Linked DNA regions of Macaca fascicularis. The protein of the gene in region 2 purifies or fractionates together with the protein of the main gene of each other region. This does not show direct contact. Links are inferred from orthologs where the notes say so. Each region holds a gene or a part of one and is shown on either strand. Other genes may lie near its edges.

Evidence for each region.
Region 1: the proteins of ACTR3B (region 2) and ARPC2 purify together in Homo sapiens (affinity purification with mass spectrometry; 6 studies listed by BioGRID and IntAct, counting the BioPlex papers as one, with this or other methods). This does not show direct contact. The link is inferred for Macaca fascicularis from reciprocal best matches to the Homo sapiens genes ACTR3B and ARPC2.
Region 3: the proteins of ACTR3B (region 2) and ARPC4 purify together in Homo sapiens (affinity purification with mass spectrometry; 5 studies listed by BioGRID and IntAct, counting the BioPlex papers as one, with this or other methods). This does not show direct contact. The link is inferred for Macaca fascicularis from reciprocal best matches to the Homo sapiens genes ACTR3B and ARPC4.
Region 4: the proteins of ACTR3B (region 2) and ARPC3 purify together in Homo sapiens (affinity purification with mass spectrometry; 6 studies listed by BioGRID and IntAct, counting the BioPlex papers as one, with this or other methods). This does not show direct contact. The link is inferred for Macaca fascicularis from reciprocal best matches to the Homo sapiens genes ACTR3B and ARPC3.
Region 5: the proteins of ACTR3B (region 2) and ARPC1B purify together in Homo sapiens (affinity purification with mass spectrometry; 5 studies listed by BioGRID and IntAct, counting the BioPlex papers as one, with this or other methods). This does not show direct contact. The link is inferred for Macaca fascicularis from reciprocal best matches to the Homo sapiens genes ACTR3B and ARPC1B.
Region 6: the proteins of ACTR3B (region 2) and ARPC1A purify together in Homo sapiens (affinity purification with mass spectrometry; 5 studies listed by BioGRID and IntAct, counting the BioPlex papers as one, with this or other methods). This does not show direct contact. The link is inferred for Macaca fascicularis from reciprocal best matches to the Homo sapiens genes ACTR3B and ARPC1A.

The regions. Positions count from the first base shown.
Region 1 is NC_088386.1:114,116,463-114,120,722, forward strand, and holds the start of ARPC2 (actin-related protein 2/3 complex subunit 2), read left to right. Parts: upstream 1-1,460; 5' UTR 1,461-1,526; intron 1,527-1,745; 5' UTR 1,746-1,753; coding exon 1,754-1,827; intron 1,828-4,260. UniProt on the Homo sapiens protein: Actin-binding component of the Arp2/3 complex, a multiprotein complex that mediates actin polymerization upon stimulation by nucleation-promoting factor (NPF).
Region 2 is NC_088377.1:194,085,913-194,089,412, forward strand, and holds part of ACTR3B (actin-related protein 3B), read left to right. Parts: intron 1-2,893; coding exon 2,894-3,037; intron 3,038-3,500. UniProt on the Homo sapiens protein: Plays a role in the organization of the actin cytoskeleton.
Region 3 is NC_088376.1:148,058,615-148,062,114, forward strand, and holds part of ARPC4 (actin-related protein 2/3 complex subunit 4), read left to right. Parts: intron 1-1,970; coding exon 1,971-2,089; intron 2,090-3,500. UniProt on the Homo sapiens protein: Actin-binding component of the Arp2/3 complex, a multiprotein complex that mediates actin polymerization upon stimulation by nucleation-promoting factor (NPF).
Region 4 is NC_088385.1:117,318,444-117,321,943, reverse strand, and holds part of ARPC3 (actin-related protein 2/3 complex subunit 3), read left to right. Parts: intron 1-1,806; coding exon 1,807-1,906; intron 1,907-3,500. UniProt on the Homo sapiens protein: Component of the Arp2/3 complex, a multiprotein complex that mediates actin polymerization upon stimulation by nucleation-promoting factor (NPF).
Region 5 is NC_088377.1:47,963,766-47,967,743, forward strand, and holds the start of ARPC1B (actin-related protein 2/3 complex subunit 1B), read left to right. Parts: upstream 1-1,178; 5' UTR 1,179-1,230; intron 1,231-3,978. UniProt on the Homo sapiens protein: Component of the Arp2/3 complex, a multiprotein complex that mediates actin polymerization upon stimulation by nucleation-promoting factor (NPF).
Region 6 is NC_088377.1:47,947,416-47,950,915, forward strand, and holds part of ARPC1A (actin-related protein 2/3 complex subunit 1A), read left to right. Parts: intron 1-1,215; coding exon 1,216-1,291; intron 1,292-2,422; coding exon 2,423-2,616; intron 2,617-3,500. UniProt on the Homo sapiens protein: Probably functions as a component of the Arp2/3 complex which is involved in regulation of actin polymerization and together with an activating nucleation-promoting factor (NPF) mediates the formation of branched actin networks.

The DNA.
Region 1 (4,260 bases), on a different chromosome or scaffold from region 2:
CCAACACAGTGAAACCCCATCTCTACTAAAAATACAAAAAAATTAAACGGGCGTGGTGGCAGGCACCTGTAATTCCAGCCACCTGGGAGGCTGAGGCAGGAGAATCACTTGAACCGGGGAGGCAGAGGTTGCGGTGAGCCGAGATCATGCCATTGCACTCCAGCCCGGGCAACAGTGCAAGACTCTGTCTCAAAAAAAAAATAATTAATTAATTAAATTAGCGTATAATTTTGGGGGATCAGCAATATCCTGAAGTTCATCCATAGCCCGTTAAGTAATGTTTCAAAGGACTATCTGTGCCTTAATGATAGGAGCTAGTTTCTTGTTCATTTTTTTATCCCCACCCCAAACACGTAACAGAAAATAAATTATTTCCTTGTATGTGGAAGGGACTCAGCTAAGTTTATTACATTCTCCCCGGAGGAGGGAAAACACAAAACAAGGCACTAAGGCAGATGGTGCGGATGTAGCACAAAGAGGAGTTAAGATTCCGCACTCAGGTAACAAGGAGGGTGTATCTCTGCCAGAGGTACTGGAAGGTTTCAAAAGCAGAAAAAAATGCGTTCTGGACACCTGGACGTAGAATTGGAGGCATGACAGAAACACAGGGAGGCCCATCTAAGTTGCCTATTCACCCAGGTGACCTCTCATTCCTTTCCTTAATTGTCCTTTTAACAATACAGGGAATTTCACGCAAGGAAAGTGTCCTCTTCTCGCCCCAGCGGGCAAGGGGGTTCCTCCGGCGCAAGTTCCGGCCCCAGCTACTCCCACGTCCCACAGGTCTCCTGCCTTTTGGTACGTACACTCCTGACCACTCGCTGCTTCCGCATCCCTACTCTGATCCTCTCCCCATGCATCTCTACCTCCTTACACAATTGAGAATTTTATTGTCTGTTTCCTCTACCAGACTATAAGTTCCACGAGGGCAGGGCCTCATCTATTTCATTTACCACTACATCCCCAGTATAGAGCAAGAGCCCATGAAAATGTTTGTTGGAGAAATGAATGTCTGATGGTGTCGCTGGACAGCTATACCTGGAAAGAAAAAGAGGCACGCCCAGCAAACAAGCTGGGAGCAAAGAAGCCCGCTGGGAGACTACAAGGGCGAGCTTCTTGCGAGGTCTCTGAAATGACAAGACCGGAAGAACGGAGTTGGATCTCTGGGACAAGCGGGAGTGAGAACCTGGACAGTCAGGCAAGCCTCGGGGAATGACAGCTCCGCGGGGGACGCACTGGTAGGCTGTAGACGTAAGGGGGTCTGTGAGAAAGTAGAGGGTGGGGTGGCGGCATCAGACATACGCAAGCGCAGTCTCCGTTTCCTCCGGCGCGCCTGCGCTCGCGTTCACGAGGGGTTGAAGCGGAAATGGCGCCGCGGGGCCGCGCGTCCAGGCGGCGAGCGGAAGTGGGTGTGAGAGCGGAAGTGGCCGGCTAGAGCCGGGGGCTGGGCGGGGACTGGACTTGTCGGTGAAGCGGCAGTGGCGGCGGCGGCGGCGGCTCGGCAGGCGGGTTCAGGCTTTGGGGGCCAGGTCGGTTGGTTGGTTGGGTGGGTGGGTGTCTCCACAGTCTGCGTGCGTGGGCCAGCGCGTGCGTCTTACCCTTCCCTCCATCCCGGCCCCTCTCCCCTTCTCCCCTAACCTCCTACCCCACCCAGGTCCCTTCAGGGGGCAGCAGGGCCGCTTCCTCCGTCCTTCCCTACCTTACCCACCCTCACCGGCCCTTGTTTCTCCTTCCCCTGCTCGGGGCAGCCGCCGCCATGATCCTGCTGGAGGTGAACAACCGCATCATCGAGGAGACGCTCGCGCTCAAGTTCGAGAACGCGGCCGCCGGGTGAGCGCGCGCCCGGGGCCAGGGGTGGCGGGGGAGGCAGAGTTGACCCCAGCTAATCCCCAGTGTCGTCCAGTCCCCCAGACCTGGAGGAGAGAAATGGGGTGCCTGGCAGGGTGTAGGGGCTGCCCCAGCGGGGTAGAGGTGGGAGGCGATTGGGCGCGGCCGGGCGAGGGGCAGAGATGCGTGGGGAGAGGCTCAGAGGAGGGATGCGGAAGCAGCGAGTGGTGAGGGCTGTGCGTGCCAAAGGGCAGGAGACCTGTGGGACGTGGGGACGCTGGGGCCGGAACTCGCGCCGGAGGAGCCCCCTGCCCGCTAGGGCGAGAAGGGGACCCCTTCCCTGCGTGAAATTCCCTGGCATTGTTCTGAACCCAGAGAGAGCCTGTTTGGAATTGGGTTGGAAGGAGTTTTCAGGAATTCCCAGGACTGGAGGAGGAAAGGAGATGCAGGCCCACGTCGCCACCAGCATTCTCGTTCCCCGCTGCCGTCTGCTCTAAAAGGAGCAGAAGAGAAGACTGAAAGCCAACCCAGTCTTAGAGCCGGAAAAACGCGATCTCTGGTTTCCCTTTCCCGAACCCTTCTGTGAGAGACACTGGGCCATTTTGTTACATAGTTTTCAAGCAAAGCTAATTGTCCCTTGCTCCACACCCGTTCCTTATCTCTCCTTTGAGGTTCTAATGCTCTCTCCTCGCCCACTAGCCTTTATCTGGTTATCTTGTAAATTCTTACATCAAGACCCTTGGTCTGTGATTTCTTCCGTGGTAGCCTTGGCCCAGTTACACACTTCAAAGCCTCCAGAATCTATAAAGTTCTTAGATAACCTCTCTTTACAGTTGGACTTTTTAAAAGATGGGCTTAGGTCGTATTTCCAAGGCAGCCTTCTCTGCCAAACACAAGAATCAGTAGAAGACAACCTCCTCCTCCAAAGCTGCTTTGCTTTTCTAATATATTTAAAACATGAGCTAAGCGTTTTGGGTTCTAATTTTTGGTGGCCTATGGCCAATCCCCTTGCCTCATTTCCCTATCTATAAGCATGGGGCTTCACATCTGGGTTTCACAGTTGAGGAAATAAGAGCAGACTGTTTCTGGTGAACTGGGAGCTAGTAATAGGAAACTACTTGGAGATCCACAGATGGGAAAAGATTGGTAGAGGGGAATTTTTAAGTGGTCATAATGTACTTGTGGCTTGGAGGCATTAAAAAGTATTAACTACCATTTAAATTGAATATATAGTATGTCCTGTCTCCTTTATAAGGCAACAGATTTTATCTGTAAAACAAAGCACTACTTTCCTTGAAGTAATATGTGTAGTGAGCAGTACTGTTTCCTGCCAGGGGCTGCAGTTGCTTATATTTTAGGCTGACTTGCTGCTTTCTTGTCTTAGCCTCTCTTACCAGTTTCTTTGCATTTTAGATATTCAAATGAATCAGCCCAGAGTCTTATTTTGGGTGATTGCTGTATACTTTTTTCTGAGCAGTGTAGCACATAGGAGGAAGTTGAATTAACTTCTGCATTTTCATAACTGATCTTAATGCATTCTCAGGTCCAGACTAGCAAAGAATGAGACCTGGGCGGTTATAAACTGATCTACAAGATAAATGGCTGTGTATTTGCAAGAAGAGGCATGTCTTTTAACATAGGAGTACATTCTCGTCTATTTGTGTATTAATGACTTGTGATTCCAAAATATGGCCCATTATTCGGAACTTCAGTTCTTTCTTCTTCTTTTAAAAAGTTATTCTTAAAAGAAGCAGCTAACCATTTCGGAGGGATTAAATAGGCCCTCAAGTCTGGAAGAAAAACGTTAGGACTTGCAGGACATTTTTTTTTTCCCCCCGAGACAGACTCACTGGCTGGAATGCAGTGGCGCGATCTCTGCTCACTGCAACCTCGCCCTCCCAGGCTCAAGTGATTCTTATGTCTCAGCCTCCCAAGTAGCTGGGATTATAAGCACGCGCCACCACACCCAGCTAATTTTTGTATTTTTAGTAGAGATGGAGTTTCACCATGTTGGCCAGGCTGGTTTCAAACTCCTGGCCTCAGGTGACCTGCCCACCTCGGCCTCCCGAAGTGCTGGGATTACAGCACCGCGCCTGTCCTCATTTTTTACAAAGATTTGCATTGTAGGGAACTTGTATGGGGGTGCACTGCTGTGTGTGCTTGTGCACATGTACGGGTGTGTGTGTGTATAAATTTAGGCTTTCATTCTGGCCCATCTCCCTCTTTGAGATTTGGTTTTCAATAAGGCAGCTCAGAACATTCTGCTGAGAATTTGAAACTTTGAAAGTCTTTTAAAAGACCACAATATCCTGCCTAGTAGGCAGGGCTCTCCTGGGATTACAGATATATCACCCAGCAGAAGCCCGAATGAAGCAAGCGGAAATTACCAGGCATCCCAGTAAGGTAAAGCAAGGTGCATGCCTATTCCAGAACTTC
Region 2 (3,500 bases):
CAAAAAGAAAAGGTTATTTAAAAGCCAAGAATGGGAGATTGTACATTTTGGCTTGCAGAAGGCTCTGCAATACCACTTTTTGGTTTTAGATAAGTGATTCCTAATTTGGGTCTCAAGAGATCTCTGAATTTTTCTTTTGGTCCAATGGACTGTTTAAAGGAATTATCTTAAATTCATGTTTTTGGAAAATGTATCGGAAGTGTCTGAAGAAGGTATTCAGAGGGAAGTCAGACTCATCCTGGTCTTTCTCCTGTGAGGTCTCCTCCTCAGGAACCACCATTGCTAGTTACTTCTGTTATGTTACAGATGTGTTTCTGCATGTGTATATGGGGGTGTGTGTATGTGTATATTTTTACATACACACACAGCTCTTTTAAAATGCAAATTAGGATTTTCAAAAACCATTTAATTGAAAAAATAGTCACCATTTCATTTTGAGAGGTGATGGGATGATGTACTAATACTAATGCCTTTAATTCCTTGAAGGTTAGGAATCACTGCAGTGGAAAGGCTTCATGGTCCATGTGCCTACAGTCAGGGAGAAAAAGGCCAACCTCCTGCACCCATGCCTTGTACTCCTGGCCATGGTCCTTCCCGTGGGGAGGAGAGGTGGCTGCCCTGCCCTGTGAAGTGTGCTCTAGACTTGAGCCTCCTTCAAGCCAGTCTCAGCACTCCTGTCCGTGGATCTCGAGAAGAGTTAGTGCCCTGGGTGCAGAGCCCTCATTGAGAACTCAGGCTGCTGTTTACTCAGAGAGCTGCGCTGCTGAGATCCAAGATGAGGCCCCTAGGCCCCTGGCCTGCACCGCCTTTGGTTCTCTGCCTATTTCTTATGTCTGATTTAGGAAAAGGGAAGAAAATACATTTCACAGCATGTCCAGGCCCACCAAGAAAGTTGTTTGAAAAGATTTTTTATCGTATCTTAGTTCGGTTTTTCCCCCAGTTATAAAAATTACATTGTCATTGGAAATTTAGATAAAATAGAAAAATTTGAAGAAATAAAATTACCTGTAAAGCCACCCAAAGACCTGTATTATGCCTTTATTTGTATAGTCTTTAAGCTCTTTTTCTTTTTTTTTTGGAGATGGAGTTTCACTCTTGTTGCCCAGGCTGGAGTGCAATGGCACGATCCGGCACACTGCAACCTCTGCCTCCCAGATTCTCCTGCCTCAGCCTCCTGAGTAGCTAGGATTACAGGCATGCGCCACCATGCCTGGCTAATTTTGTATTTTTAGTAGAGACGGGGTTTCTGCATGTTGGTCAGGCTGGTCTCAAACTCCCGACCTCAGGTGATCTGCCCATCTTGGCCTCCCAAAGTGCTGGGATTACAGGTGTGAGCCACCGTGCCCAGCCTGAGCTCTTTTTCTAAGACACATGTCACACGCACACACTTAAAACACAATTGGAATGTCTCATGTCTGGTCTGGGATTCTATATATAATACAATCCTAAAGTTATATTTTGCATATTGATTTAACCCTAATTTTTTTCTCTTGTGGTTAAATATTCTGTGAAAATACATTTAAGAAGTACATAATATATTTTTCTGTTGTTGGACATGTATCTTGTTTTAATATTTTTACCACTGTCATGAGCTGATATTTATTTAACAGTATTTTAGAAAATATTACGTGTAATGCATAGAATGTGGTAATTTTGAATAATTTATGTGTTAGAAAGCTAATATTATTTTTATGGGTTTAAGTTGATTTTTAATAATTTGTACATATCTTTTAGCTCCGTCTTAAAATACTTTACAAATACTTGGACTCTACAGAAAGGCTAAATCCTTTTTTGCTTCTAGAAGTTAGGTACATCAGAAAAAAACCATAGGAGGAATTCAGTAAGTTGTCCTTGCAACTTTACTGGTGACTAGATGCAACTATTAGAATGAATACGTGTGTAAAATGAAGTCAGCGTTTCACTTCTGTTCCCTTCTGTCTCACTTGGGGAGTGTGGCACAGAGGCTGTGATTGCTGTAACGTGAAACCTGAGGGTCTTTACCGGATGATCCAGCGGTAGGCGTTGTCCACTCTGATGGTCAGCATCCTGCTCACCCCTGTGGAACAAGCTGGATGTGTGTCCAAGCTTGTGGCTCCTGTGGCAGGTCTGTGCCCACAGGAAGGCTGATGAGGGAGCTTTGGACCCATCATTGCTGTGGGCATGTGGATACTTTACACCGGTCCTGCCATTGACAGCACAGGTGGTGGTCACCCTTCTTTCCTGGTCCCTCACAGACATACCTTCACTGGCTCAGGGAGGCAGTGGAATGAGAGGCTCCCCACCCCCAAAAGCAGTGCTATGTGCTCGACACACACAGTTTCATCTGAACTGTGTTATTGGCCCCTGCAGGGTATTGTTTGCCCCATATGATGGACAAATGCGCTGAGGCTGAAGCATGTGAAACTTGCAAATGTGGAGCCGGAATTGGAGTCCAGGTTGTTAGAATCTAAGCCCTGTGTATTAACCAAATTGCTGACTTTGAAACATAAGTAGATTTATAGTTGGCTTAACAATTTATAAATAAAACTTTTTCCTTTTTGTTAGGGAAAAAACCTATTGGGTTTAGTGTTCCCACAGACAGCATTACTTTTTGGAAATGAACTATCCCGTGTGTTTTTTCTTTTCATATTCCTAACGAAGACATCATTTTGGTTGCTTTCGGAGAGCGTCAGATTATTGGAATAATCTGGAAGTTTGAATATAAATGGAATTGCGTATGCAGTCATTTCGAAAGACCTTCTGTGCCGAGCTTGCAGAGGGTGGGGATTCTGTAAATGCTTGTTAATGCTGTGAGGGGCAGACAGGGAGGCTGAGACAGGAAACCTTGTGAGTCCAGGCTGCTCTCCACTACAGAATCAGTAACACAGCTGTTTTGCCTCCTCTTCTTCCCTAGGCAGAAGGTTATGTTATTGGAAGCTGCATCAAACACATCCCGATTGCAGGTAGAGATATTACGTATTTCATTCAACAGCTGCTAAGGGAGAGGGAGGTGGGAATCCCTCCTGAGCAGTCACTGGAGACAGCAAAAGCCATTAAGGTAAAAACAGATGGGAAACCGGCTGGTTTGGGGGTGAGAGAGATGGTGTTCTGGACACTTCCCCTCGGTGCCGTCATCCCTGCTTCTCCTTTCCTTCCTCTCCCCTTCCCATGAGTGTGGGGCTTGATTTGTTTTACCCCTTGGGTTTAGTGGGCTGAAGATGTAAAGCTTAACCTCTTCCAAACTAGATGCTCTGAGGTTCCAGCTGTCAGTGAGAACAGCTTGGTAGCTGGTGCAGTGTACCAGCATGCAGAGGCGCATTGTTCAGCTGGAACCTCACTGCCAGAGCCTCAACTACCAGAGCGCTCCTTCCATACTGCCTCCATGCTTCGCTGTAGAATCAGGAGGCGACTGCAGCAGCAGAACACTGCCACCCTAGAATCCAGAGCTATTGCACAAAATTCACACACAGGTGTGGGTGTGACGTGTGGCCATAAGCATCTCCTTCCTTTACTGCACAGTT
Region 3 (3,500 bases), on a different chromosome or scaffold from region 2:
CACTTGAACCCGGGAGGTGGAGGTTGCAGTGAGCCAAGATTGTACCACTGCACTCCAGCCTGGGCAACAGAGTGAGACTCTGTCTCAAAAATAAAATAAAAAAAAAATAAAGGCCAGGCACATTGGCTCACGCCTGTAATCCCAACACTTTGGGAGGCTGAAGTGGGCGGACTGCCTGAGGTCAGGATTTGAAGACAACCATGGCTAACATGGTGAAACCCCATCTCTACTAAAAATACAAAAATTAGCCGGGCATGGTGGTGTACACCTGTAATCCCAGCTACTCGCGAGGCTGAGGCAGGAGAAAGGCTTCAACCCAGGAGGCGGAGATTGCAGTGAGCAGAGATCGCGCCACTGCACTCCAGGCTGGGCAACAGAAGCGAAACTCTGTCTCAAAATAAATAAATAAAAATTAAAAAGATATGAAAGGCCGGGCGCGGTGGCTCAAGCCTGTAATCCCAGCACTTTGGGAGGCCCAGACGGGTGGATCACGAGGTCAGGAGATCGAGACCATCCTGGTGAACACAGTGAAACCCCATCTCTACTAAAACTACAAAAAAAAACTAGCCGGGCGAGGTGGCGGGCGCCTGTAGTCCCAGCTACTCGGGAGGCTGAGGCAGGAGAATGGCGTGAACCCGGGAGGCGGAGCTTGCAGTGAGCTGAGATCAGGCCACTGCACTCCAGCCTGGGTGACAGAGCGAGACTCCGTCTCAAAAAAAAAAAAAAAAAGATATGAAAGACATTTTATTGTAAATTGTAATAAATGCTTTGTAGGCGGAAGTGAAGGCCTAAGAGGCTTTCCTTAATTAAGCTGAGATCTGGAGGATGACCTAGGCAAAGAAAGAGGAAAAAAGCCTACAAATAGATGGTCAAGCATGTGTAAAGCCCTGAGGTGGGAAAGAATTTGGCTGATATAAGGACTGACCAGTACATCTAGAAGCTAATCCCTCTACTAAGAATGTCCTTATTCTAGCCGAGTGTGGGGCTCATACCTGTAATCCCAGCACTTTGGGAGGCTGAGGCTGGTGGATCACAAGGTCAGGAGATCAGGACCACCCTGGCTAACATGTGAAACCCTGTCTCTACTAAAAATACAAAAATTAGCCAGCCGTGGTGGCGGGCGCCTGTAGTCCCAGCTACTTGGGAGGCTGAGGCAGGAGAATGGCATGAACCCAGGAGGCAGAGCTTGCAGTGAGCCGAGATCGTGCCACTGCAGTCCAGCCTGGGTGACAGAGCAAGAGTCTGTCTCAAAAAAAAAAAAAAAAGAATGTCCTTACTCTACTTTTTCTCATTATAAAATCCTCCTAATCCCATTTCACTTTCAAAACCAGTTTCTTCTGCAAATATAGATTACTTGTAAATCTAAATATTTCAACATTTTATCTTTATATCATAGTTATTTTCTGTATATCTGCTATCCAGTTGAGCTGTTTGAGGGTAGAGACAGTGTTAATCATCTTTGAATTCCCAGTTAGCTCAGTGCCTGGCAAACAGTATATACATTTGTTGGCCTAATAGATTGAAGACAATCATGCATTCACTGGTATGTCTCTAGATCACTTTCTCAACCTCAGCACTTTTGATATTTGAGACTCAATAATTCTTTGTAGTGCATTGTAGTATGTTTATTGGATATCTGTCCACTCAGTGCCTGCAGTTCGCCTCCCCGCCAAGTCATGACAGTTGAAAATGTCTCAGCATTCCTCTGGTGTGACCCCAGGTTAAAAAAGAAAGAAATGAAATATCTCGACATTGCCAAATGTACCTTGGGAGGCAAAATTGCCTCCTGTTGAAAACCATGACTGCACCTTGGAAGGCGTCTCGAAGGCCTAGTTTGTTCTGTTCACAGTGGTGTCTTAAGAGCCTTGCACCCTCAGTGCTACCTGGCTTCATGGGAGCTGGAATAGGGGATCAGTGGGTTTGGCATGACAGATTTTGATCTTCCCTTCCCTTTGTGTTATTTCCTATAGACTGCCACTCTCCGCCCCTACCTGAGTGCCGTGCGGGCCACATTGCAGGCTGCCCTCTGCCTGGAGAACTTCTCCTCCCAGGTTGTGGAACGACACAACAAGCCGGAAGTGGAAGTCAGGTAGGGAAGGACAAGTCAAGGTGGGGATGAGGGGTGTGGCACGCAGAGATGGCTGCTGTCAAGAAGGTGCCGTGAACTTATGTCCCAGAGTAGTCAGGACAGCTGCAGTTGACATTTTGTCTTGCTGCCAGCTGAATGGTGATTCCCAATTTGGAGTTAAGAAAATAGGGTCAGGCCGGGCGCGGTGGCTCAAGCCTGTAACCCTAGCACTTTGGGAGGCCGAGACGGGCGGATCACAAGGTCAGGAGATCGAGACCATCCTGGCGAACCCGGTGAAACCCCGTCTCTACTAAAAAATACAAAAAACTAGCCGGGCGAGGTGGCGGGCGCCTGTAGTCCCAGCTACTCGGGAGGCTGAGGCAGGAGAATGGCGTGAACCCGGGAGGCGGAGCTTGCAGTGAGCTGAGATCCGGCCACTGCACTCCAGCCTGGGTGACAGAGCGAGACCCCGTCTCAAAAAAAAAAAAAAAAAAAAAAGGAAAATAGGGTCAGTGGGTTGGCAGGACAGAACCCAGGGGAAAAGACAAGATTGCTTGACACAAGGTATGACTTCTCAGAGCTGGGCTGTTGATGAAGTCTTTCCTGTGGCATTGTTGAAAACACTGGTAGTTTAAGGAATAGTCAGATAATTTAGTTATTTGAGATGCCATCTCCATACTTTTCTAATGTAATGATCAGGGATTTTTTTGTACCTACCAGTCTAGACACTCTGACACCCTAATCCAAATACTCCACATTTTGAATGATTTTCTCTTATCTAGTTTCCATTTCATAAATATCTTTTTCCCCTTTAAAATTTAATCTGGTGCAATGGCTGGTGCAAGCCATTGCCTGGTGCAGTGGCTCACCCCTTTAATCTGAGCACTTGAGGAGGCTGAAGTGGGCAGATCGCTTGAGTCTAGGAGTTCAAGACCAGCCTGGACAACATGGCAAGACTCCATCTCTACCAAAAAAATATGCAAAAATAGTTGGGCTTGGTGCCACATGCCTGTAGTCCCAGCTTCTTGGGAGGCTGAGGCGGGAGGATCTCTTGAGCCTGGGAGGTAGAGGTTGCAGTGAGCCAACATCGTGACAGTGCACTCCAGCCTGGGTGAGACCCTGTCTCAAAAAATAAGTAAAAGAGGCTGGGCACGGTGGCTTATGCCTGTAATCCCAGCACTTTGGGAGGCTGAGGCAGGCAAATCACGAAGTCAAAAGATCGAGAGCATCCTGGCCAACATGGTGAAACCCTGTCTCTACTAAAAATACAAAAATTAGCTGGGCATGTAGTGCGCGCCTGTAGTCCCAGCTACTCAGGAGGCTGAGGCAGGAGAATTGCTCGAACCCGGGAGGCAGAGTTTGCAGCGAGCAGAGATCGTGCCACTGCACTCCAGCCTGGCGACAGAGCAAGACTTCATCTCAAAAAAAAGTA
Region 4 (3,500 bases), on a different chromosome or scaffold from region 2:
GAATGGGACCCATGTTGTCTTATAAAAAGCCAGGCATCTTGTAAAAAGCAGAACTAAGAATCAGCATACAGAATGCTCTCATAAATGTGATTTTTTTCTCCCTTCCTTTAACTCACACTTACCCACTGAAGGGAATATATATATTCTCATTTTACAAATTTGGAAACAAGCTAAGAGAAGAAGAATGATGCCTTGGTCAAAGCATAACGCCAGGAAGTGGCAGAGCTGAAAAGATAGTGCTTGGGTCTTGGTTTAGCTGGGGGCTGGGTACCCTGATTTATATGATGTTTGTCTTTCTGTGGTGGAAATACTTTGACCAGATACCAATGTGATGTCACCAAACATAGAATTGGAAGAGATGCACAGCAGCACCCCATTATTTAGTATTTCGTAATAATAACTTTAAGAACATGACAATAGGAAAATGTAATTTTTAAAAATTAGGTTATTGCCGGGCGCGGTGGCTCATGCCTGTAATCCCAGCACTTTGGGAGGCTGAGGTGGGCGGATCATGGGGTCAGGAGTTTGAGACCAGCCTGACCAACATGGTGAAACCCTGTCTCTACTAAAAATACAAAAATTAGCTGGGCGTGGTGGCTCGCACCTCTAATCCCAGCTACTCAAGAAGCTGGGCGGGAGAATCGCTTGAACCCAGGAGGCGGAGGTTTCAGTGAACAGAGATCGCGCCACTGCACTTCAGCCTGGGTGACAGGGCGAGACTCCGTCTCAAAAAAAAAAAAAAAAATTTAGGAAGTAGGCCAAGTGCAGTGCAGTGGCTCACGCCTGTAATCCCAACACTTTGGGAGGCCGAGGCGGGCGGATCACCTGAGGCCGGGAGTTCAACACCAGCCTGGCCAAAATGGAGAAACCCCTTCTCTACCAAAACTACAAAATTAGCTGGGCGTGGTGGCACATCCCTGTAATCACAGCTACTCAGGAGGCTGAGGCAGGAGAATCGCTTGAACCCGGGAGGCAGAGGTTGCAGTGGGCCAAGGTCACGTCATTGCACTCCAGCCTGGGCAACAAGAGCAAAACTCCGTCTCAAAAAAATAAAATGTAGGCAGTAGCTGGGTGAGGTGGCTCTTGCCTGTAGTCCCAGCCCTTTGGGAGGCCGAGGCAGGCATATCACTTGAGCTTAGGAGTTCGAGACCATCTTAGGCAACATGGTGAGACTCCTTCTCAAAAAAAAAAAAAAAAGAAGTAGTGATGAATATTTAAGCATCATTGGTTTTAACATCATTTACTTTTTTTTTTTTGAGACAGAGTCTCGCTCTGTTGCCCAGGCTGGAGTGCAGTGGGATGATCTTGGTTCACTGCAACCTTCGCCTCCTGGGTTCAAGTGATTCTCCAGCTTAGCGTCCCAAGTAGCTGGGACTACAGGCGCACACTGCCACGCCCGGCTAATTTTTTGTATTTTAGTAGAGATGGGGTTTCACTGTGTTGCCCAGGCTGGTCGCGAACTCCTGACCTCAGGCAATCCGCCTGCCTCAGCCTCCCAAAGTGCTGGGATTACAGGCGTGAGCCACTGCGCCGGCCAACATCATTTACTTAATTGTAAGTTTATATAATTTGATTTTTGAGAACAGCTGTGTTTAACAACCAGCTTGAAAAATGCCTCATAATTTAACAGTTGGTTTTCTTGAGCCAGAAAGAACCAGCTCTAGCACCTCAATGCTGCTATCCCTTCTCCCTCCCCTGATTAATCTTGGGTGGGTTACTCTTTTTTTCCTTTAAGGAAAGGTTGTTTGCCACAGTGACATTTGCTCTCTTTCTGCTTCTGTGTTCTTCCTGGGCTTGCCATTACAGGCTTACCACTCTTCTCTCATGGATCCTGACACCAAACTCATCGGAAACATGGCACTGTTACCTATTAGAAGTCAATTCAAAGGACCTGCACCCAGAGAGAGTAAGTCTAAACCCATTATTTTCAAATTTTGGCATGAAATGCCTAACAGTCTTCTAAAATGGTCAAATCAGGGAAATTCTTAGCTCAGTCTTCTCTCTCAAATTGTCCTTGTACTTTGGTAGATATTGTGGTCTAGACCTTTCAAGATAGTGGTTATATGTTGCATTTAATAGGAAATTGTATTATTTCTTCTGACTTCTCCAGGAAACTCTTTTGAGAAAATGGAGGAAATGTGCTTAATTCTGGACACTGTTTATCAGTTCTTTCAAACAAATCTAATGCTGTTATGTCTAGAATGCCACATGCCCATCCTTTCTGTTATCAACCTGGAAGAAAACAACAAATATTTTGACCTCTTCCCCGTCTAAATCTACTTCCTTTATTCATTCTTCAAGATCTTCATTTTTAGCAATACCTCAATCTTAAATCTGAAGTATACTATGTAACATTACTTATGTCTATTCCTGCTTTTCTGAGTTTTATTTCAGAAAGCTGCAATATTTTTCAGACACTGTCTGAGACTCTTCTGACGCTTTCTGAGATGTTCTTCCAACAGTATTATTTGTATTATATTAGACACGGTTTCCCTGTACCCTGCAAGGGTCTGAACTGAATTCCATTCATGGTTTCTAAGACCATTATTATAATTATCAATTTGGTACTGATCCAATTCCCATTTCTCTGCCAGACTGTTTGACTTGACCTTTTTTTAACTTAATTTTGTTTTCAACACCATTTGAAAGCTCAGTAAACTTTATAAATATGGTGAGTCACCACAGTCTCTACTTGATTCTGAGGAAAAGGAACAAGGAAGAAGACAACCTGAGAGAGAAGAAAAATAACATAAAAGAAAATCACAGGGCTGGGCGCAGTGGCTCACACTTGTAATCCCAGAACTTTGGGAGGCCAGGGCAAGTGGATCACTTAAGGTCAGGAGTTCGAGACCAGCCTGGCAAACATGGCAAAACCCCATCTCTACTAAAAATACAAAAATTAGCTAGGCATGGTGGTGGGCACCTGTGATCCCAGCTACTCAGGAGGCTGAGACAGGAGAATTGCTTGAACACAGTGGGTGGAGGTTGCAGTGAGCCAAGATTGCACCACTGCACTCCAGCCTGGGCGACAGAGTGAGACTCCATCTCAAAAAAAAAAAACAAAAATTACACTGCAAAGGCCAGGCGTGGTGGCTCACACCTCTAATCCCAGCACTTTGAGAGGTCGAAGTGGATGGATCACCTGAGTTCAGGAGTTCGAGACCAGCCTGAACAACGTGGAGAAACCCCGTCTCTACTAAAAATACAAAAAATTAGCCAGGTGTGGTGGCACATGCCTGTAATCCCAGCTACTTGGGAGATTGAGGCAGGAGAATCGCTTGAACCTAGGAGGTGGAGGTTGCAGTGAGCTGACCTGGGAGGTGGAGGTTGCAGTGAGCTGAGATCATGCCATTGCACTCCACCCTGGGCAACAAGAGCAAAACTCTTGTTTCAAAAGGAAAAAAAAAAAAAAAAAGAAAAACACCTGAATTGGAATGGAGGCCTGTGCTGTGAGCTAAATAACAGTATTAATCACACTAATTCATTTATATTCAACAAAT
Region 5 (3,978 bases), about 150 Mb from region 2:
TCGCGCCACTGCACTCCAGCCTGGGCGACACAGCGAGACTCCGTCTCAAAAAACAAAACAAAACAAACAAACAAAAAAAAAGAAACAGAGTCTCACTCTGTTGCCCAGGCTGGAGTGTGTTGGTGCGATCTCGGCTCACTGCAACCTCCGCCTCCTAGGTTCAAGCGATTCTTCTGCCTCAGCCTCCCGAGTAGCTGGGATTACAGGCATGCGCCACCACTCCTGGCTAATTTTTGTATTTTTTAGTAGAGACGGGGTTTCACTGTCTTAGCCAGGATGATCTCCATCTCCTGAGCTCATGATCCTCCCGCCTCGGCCTCCAAAAGTGCTGGGATTACAGGCGTGAGCCACCGCGACTAGCCGAGGGAAGGTTTTCATCGGTGGCTCTTCCATGTGTCTGGCCGCCTGGGCACGTATTCACTGAAGAGGCAGAGGGTCAGGATGGGGAGACTCCAGGGACCACCTGGCTCAAGACCCGCAATTAGGTGGCTGCAAGGCCAACCCGGTAACTTTAAGAAGTGAAGCCGATTGACGTGAAACAGAAAGGAAAGAAGTTAGCTGGCCGGCCAGCGTCAGCACAGGCAGCCAGTGTCACCCTGCCCGGGGACGGCACCCCGGTTTTGTGGCGACGACACCGAGGGCCGAGGGGGCGGGGCCGGGCTGCCCTGGCCATGCCCGACCGCCTGCGCCCCGCCCAAGGCCTGCACAGTTGGCGCCCCGCGGGTATCAGCGTGAAGGGGGCTCCTCGCCGGCTGGGGACGGGGCTGCGGGGCTCGCCAGCCGCTCACCTGCGTGGGAGCGCAGAGCCCGCAGTACCCGCCGTCCGGGCTCAGAGGACGCGACTCCCCGACCCTGCGCCCGGCAGCCCCCGGTGGCCGTGCGCCCGGCCCAGGCTCGGAGGTCTAGCCCAGCGGCAGCTTAGGCTGCGCGCCTGGCTCCCAGCCTCAGTTTCCCCATTGGTAAAGCGTTGACGGGAGGTTGCGGACGGCTTCTACGGACAGAGCCTTAGGCTCCGACGTCTGCGCCGGTCCTGGCAGCACCCCCACCCCGAAGGGAGGGCGGGACCTGGATCTCGCGACCGCTGCCCCAGGTCCCCGCCCCCGGGCCCTACGGGGCTGAGGTCGGGAGGCCCCGCCCCCCGCCCACGAGGAAGTGGCTGCGGCTCCGGCGCGGAGCCCAGAGCCGGTTCGGCGCGTCGACTGCCCAGAGTCCGCGGCCGGGGCGCGGGAGGTGAGGGCCGCGGGGGCGCCGGGAGGTGGGGGTCGGGGGAGCCATCCGGAGGTGGGGGGACGCGTGGATGTGGGGCGCCGCCTGGGAGTGAGCGGGACGGGAGGGATGAGAGGGGGTGCAAGGAGGGGGCCGGGGGGCGCCTGGAAGTGAGGAGGACGCATGGATGTGGGGCGCCGCCCAATAGGGGCACGGGGATGAGTGAGGGCGCACGGAGAGGAGGGGGCGCGGGGACGGGGGGCTCGCGGAAAGGAGAGGGAACCCTGGGATTGGAGGGGGCGCGGGGGTGGCTACAGGGCCAGGCCGTGGAAACGCGGGCTCCCCGCGCACCGGGCGCCCTCGGGGCGTCCCCAGCCCCCGGTCCCGAGCGTCCGCCTCGTGCCTTCCACCTCGTGCCTTCCGCCCCTGCTCCCGGGCCCGCATCCCCGGCCTTGCCCCGCGGTCGGTCGGTGTAGCCCCGTTACTTCGGGCCGGCGGAGCCCCACGCCCAGTCACTTCCCCTCCATCCCGGAGCCTTCCGGGTTGCAGCCGCCGGGAAATGAGTTGGCGTCCCCGGCCGCCCCGCCCCAGCCCTCCTGGCCGCTCCCGCTGCTCCCAACCGCCTCCCCTGGGCCAGGTCCGAGGGGTCCCGTATAGGGCGGGCCTGGCCGGTGGAGTCCCGGAACGCACCCCTCAGCTGCGGGGCTCCGCGGCCAGGGCAGATCCGGGCAGCCCCTCCCTTTCCGGAGGCGCAGGGAGAGCAGCCAGGCCGCCCAGGGCGGGGCGGGGCTGGGCCGGGCTGCACCCGCGGGCAGAGAAGAGATCAGGAGGGCAAGCCCTGGGGAGTCAGACCTCCCCCTGCCTCCTCTGCCAGTGCAGCCCGGAGGCTACCACCACCCATCCCGGCCGGGCGCGGCGGCTCACACACACAATCCCAGCATTTTGAGAGGCCCAAGCGGGAGGATCGCTTGAGGCCAGGAGTTGGAGGCCAGCATGGACAGCACTGCGAGACCCCTTCTCTATTAAAATAAATAAATAAAATGCAGTCGGGCGCTGTGGCTCATGCCTGTAATCCCAACACTTTGGGAGCCGAGGTGGACGGATCACTTGAGGTCAGGAGTTCGAGACCAGCCTGACCAACATGGTGAAACCCCGTCTCTACTAAAATTATAAAAATTACCCAGGCATGGTGGCGCTCACCTGTAATCCCAGCTACTCAGGAGGCTGAAGCAGGAGAATAGCTTGAACCCAGGAGACAGAGGTTGCCGTGAGCTGAGATCACGCCATTTGCACTCCAGCCTGGGCAACACAGCAAGACTCCAACTCAAAAAAAAAAAAAAAGTTAGCCAGGTATGGTGGTGCATACGTGTAATCCCAGCTACTCGGGAGGATGAGGCAGGAGAATCGCTTGAACTTGCTTTGGCAGTGAGCCAAGATTATATCACTGCACTCCAGCCTGGACAACAGAGGGAGACTCCATCTCTAAATAAATAAATAAATAAAATCTTAGGGATCTAAGTAGGAGTGCCAGCTTCTCCCTTCACTGGCCAGTGACTGGTAAGCTACCCAACCCCTGCCAGCCTCAACTTTCCTTATCTGGAAAATGGGAACCTTAAGGATTGTAAGGCTGCAATGCAATACTGCAGGACACTTGGCAGCGTGTCAGGTGCTGACAGTATAAACGTGTGCTTGTTGCTCACCTTGATCATAGTGTGCCCCCAGGTGAAACTAACTTCCTGGCCTCCAAGATGTGGGGTCAGAGTCCCAAGTTTCGTCATTTAGTAGGAGCCGAGTGACTTTGAGCAAATCATTGCCTTTGTCAGGCTGGGTTTCCTCTGGTACAAACTGAAGGTAAAAAGCAAACAGGCTGGGTGTGGGTGGCTCACGGTTGTAATTCCAGCATTTTGAGAGGCCGAAGCAGGCGGATTACCTGAGGTCAGGAGTTTGAGACCAGCCCGACCAACATGGTGAAACCCCGTCTCTACTAAAAATACAAAATTAGCCGGGCATGGTGGTGGGCAGGAGAATCGCTAGAACCCGGGAGGTGGAGGTTGTGGTGAGCTGAGATCACGGCATTGCACTTCAGTCTGGGGACAGAGTGAGACTCTGTCTCCAAAAAAAAAAAAAAAAAGCAAACAAAAAATGTCCAGGCTTGCTTCAGGGTGTAAAAGAGAGAATGGTGAAAGTTCTGGGTAAAATTGCCTTGCCAGATGCCAGTAAAGTTCGTTTCTTACATATGTCTGTACGTAATCCATTGATAGGTCTTTTTCTTTTTTTGGAGTCCGGTCTCACTGTGTTGCCCAGGCTGCAGTGCCATGGCTTGATCATAACTCACTTTAGTCTCAAACTCCTGGGCTCAAGGGATCCTCCTGAGTAGCTGGGATTACAGGCATGTGCCTCCATGCCCAGCTAATTTTTAAATATTTAGTAGAGATGGGGTTTTGCTGTGTTGTCCAGGCTGGCCTCAAACTCCTGGCCTTAAGTGATCCTCCTGCCTTGGCCTCCCAAAGTGCTGGGGTTACAGGCATGGACCTCCATGCCTGCCTTATAGGTGTTTTTTTTTTTTTTTTTGAGACGGCGGAGTTTCACTCTGTTGCCCAGGCTGGAGTGCAGTGGCATAATCTCAATTTACTGCAACCTCTGCCTCTCGAGTTCGAGTGATTCTCTTACCTCAGCCTCCCAAGCAGCTGGGATTACAGGTGCCTGCTACCATTCCCAGATAATTTTTGTATTTTTAGTAGAGACAGGGTTTTATCATGTTGGGCAGGCTGG
Region 6 (3,500 bases), about 150 Mb from region 2:
TTTCCAGTCCTGCAAGTCAGATTACATGCTCCACCCTTCCACTCCTCCAACATAAATATCTCATGTAGTAAAAGTCAGGTATACCACACTAAGGGCTTCAGATGACACATTAATTCTTCAATGGCAACTTTATGAAGGGCGTCCTGAGACATGTACAGTTAGCTTTTATTTTGTTATTATTTAGAGAGACACTCTCTGTCGCGCAGGCTAGAATGCAGTTCTGCAATCATAGCTCATTACAGCCTTGAACTCCCGAGCTCAAGTGCTCCTCCCAACTCAGCCCCTCAAGCAGATGGGGCCACAGATGTGCACCACCACGCTAGGGTAATTTTTTTTTTATTTTAATTTTTCATAGAGACTGGGTCTCACTATGTTATCCAGGCTGATCTCAAACTCCTGCCTCCAGCAATCCTTCCGCCTCAGCCCCTCAAAGTGCTGAGATAACAGGTGTAAGCCACCACGCCCAGCCAGTCAGCTATTGAATGCATCGTTTCTTGCATGAAGTGAGGTGCTCCTAACTCATCAGCCAGTGTGTTTGCCTGCCATATCTGTGTAATCTCTTTGCCACACTCAAGAGCAAATAACTACATGCACACACGTGTCCCTGCACGCACACATACACACACACGGCCCATTCGAGTGCGAGCTCCTGGCTAAGACCATTTGGTTCATTTTGGTGGCTCTAGTTGCTGACACAGTGCCTGGCCGTCAGCACAGATGTGTGTGGCCACAGCCGTCTCGGAGCTCCGGGGAGCACAGGCAAGGAGAGGGTCCTAGCACAGGTGTTTGCTGCCAAGTCATAGTAACAGAAAGAGCTCTAGGAGCTAAGAGCAGGGAGAAGCTGCTTTAGGCTGCAGTGGCCTCTGGGAAAGTGGACCGTGGGATCATGGGGGTGATCCCTTTAGAGCTGTGCTGGGGGTCGAAGGGCGTGGGCGGAAAGACAGGGCTTTGGGAACCAGTTTGTCATGAGTGGGCGGGGTCTCAGAAGCAGGCGGGAGGAGCCCAGGCTGGAGCTGGAGCCGGAGCCGGAGCCGGAGCCCAGGGCCACCCCTGGCTCAAGAGGCCTGCAAGTTGAGGTCAGAGGCTCCTTTTCAACATAAGTGCCCGTTGATACTGCAGAAGCCCCTGTGAGAATGGGTCCTTTGTTGTCATCTGTGTCTGTAAAGAAGCTAATAGTCTGTTACATCTTGGGATAACAAACGTTCTTGTGTTTAGGGTCTCAACTCTGAAGACGGAGTTCCTGCCGCTCCTGAGTGTGTCATTTGTCTCAGAGAACAGCGTCGTGGCTGCTGTGAGTATTTTTCTTCATTCTCCCTCGGGGTGCACTGTATGTGATGCTCAGACAGGGAACAATGTGTGCTCTGTCACCCTAGCACAAAGCAGAACAGTTTTTTGTTTTTTGGTTTTTGGTTTTTTTTGAGACAGAGTTTCGCTCTTGTCCAGGCTGGAGTGCAGTGGGTGATCTTGACTCACCGCAACCTCTGCCTCCCGGGTTCAAGCGATTCTCCTACCTCAGCCTCCCGAGTAGCCGGGATTACAGGCATGTGCCACCATACCTGGCTAAATTTGTATTTTTAGTAGAGATGGGGTTTCTCCATGTTGGACAGGCCAGTCTCAAACTCCCGTCCTCAGGTGATCTGCCCACCTCGGCCTCCCAAAGTGCGGGCGTGAGCCACCGTGCCTGGCCTTAGAGCTCACTCTTTTTTTTTTTTTTTTTTTTTTGAGACGGAGTCTCGCTCTGTCGCCCAGGCTGGAGTGCAGTGGCCGGATCTCAGCTCACTGCAAGCTCCGCCTCCTGGGTTTACGCCATTCTCCTGCCTCAACCTCCTGAGTAGCTGGGACTACAGGCGCCTGCCACCTTGCCCGGCTAGTTTTTTGTATTTTTTTTTTTAGTAGAGACGGGGTTTCACCGTGTTAGCCAGGATGGTCTCGATCTCCTGACCTTGTGATCCGCCTATCTCGGCCTCCCAAAGTGCTGGGATTACAGGCTTGAGCCACCGCGCCCGGCAAGCTCACTTTTAAGAGTAAGAGCAGGTGGGGCACGATGGCTCACGCCTGTAATCCCAATACTTTGGGAGGCCAAGGCAGGTGGATGACCTGAGGTTGGTAGATTGAGACCAGCCTGGCCAACATGGTGAAACCCTGTCTCTACTAAAAACACAAAAATTAACCAGGGCATGGTAGCGCACATCTATAATCCCAGGTACTTGGGAGGCTGAGGCAGGAAAATCACTTGAACCCGGGAACCAGAGGTTGCAGTGAGCTGAGATCGTGCCACTGCACTCCAGCCTGGGCAACAGAGCAAGACTCAATCTCAAAAAAAAAAAAAAAAAGTAAGAGAGGCCTATCATGGTGAACACTCTGCCAAGGAGCTGGGCGGTGGGCAGTGTGTCCTCCAGGGACTGACTGAGTCTCGTTTCAGGGCCATGACTGCTGCCCAATGCTCTTCAACTACGATGACCGCGGCTGCCTGACCTTCGTCTCCAAGTTAGACATTCCAAAACAGAGCATCCAGCGCAACATGTCTGCCATGGAACGCTTCCGCAACATGGACAAGAGAGCCACGACTGAGGACCGCAACACGGCCTTGGAGACGCTGCACCAGAATAGCATCACGTAGGTGCCGTCTGTAGAAAGGTGGTCAGGTGACAAGGTGCCCTCCTGCCCCTCGCTGTTTCCTTACTGGGTTCCTACAAAAGCTCTATGCCCCGCAGGCCCAGGCATTCCTTCAGGGACAAGTGCAGCAAGAAGTCCGTATCTTCCCGACTGCCAGGCTCTCATTTCCAGCTCGTGATAGGGAGAGAGTCGCCACCACCTGTCATTCTGTCCTTCAAGGTGCAGATTACAAGGCAGCAGCCAGCAGCAGCAGTGCAGACCCTGTTGCAATCCGAGGTGGTGGGGCTTCAGGGTAACCGCTTCCTAGGGCACCCTTTCTCAGCTACTCAAGAATGAAAGGAGACTTTCTTGAATGCTGTGTTCCCATGGTAGTGCACACATAACAGAAAGCGAAGTTACAGCCTGTTTGAAAAGGTAACTGTAACTGTCATTTCAAGTAATGGATACAAAAAGAAGATTCTTTAATTAAAGAAACAATTTCTTAGCATCATGATGACAAAGCTGAGGAGTGTTTCAACTGGGTTTTCGTAGGGTATATGTAATTATGTAAGACAACAGAATTGTGTTTTGTCCAGAAAGTTTGATTTTTATTTATTTATTTATTTATTTATTTTGAGACAGAGTCTCACTCTGTTGCCCATGCTGGAGTGCAATGGCACAATCTCAGCTCACTGCAACCTCCGCCTCCCGGGTTCAAGCAATTCTCCTGCCTCAACCTCCCGAGTAGCTGGGATTACAGGTGTGTGCCACCACACCTGGCTAATTTTTTGTATTTTTACTAGAGACGAGGTTTCACCCTGTTGGCCAGCCTGGTCTCGATCTCCTGACCTCAGGTGATCCGCCCACCTTGACCTCCCAAACTGCTGGGATTACAGGCATGAGCC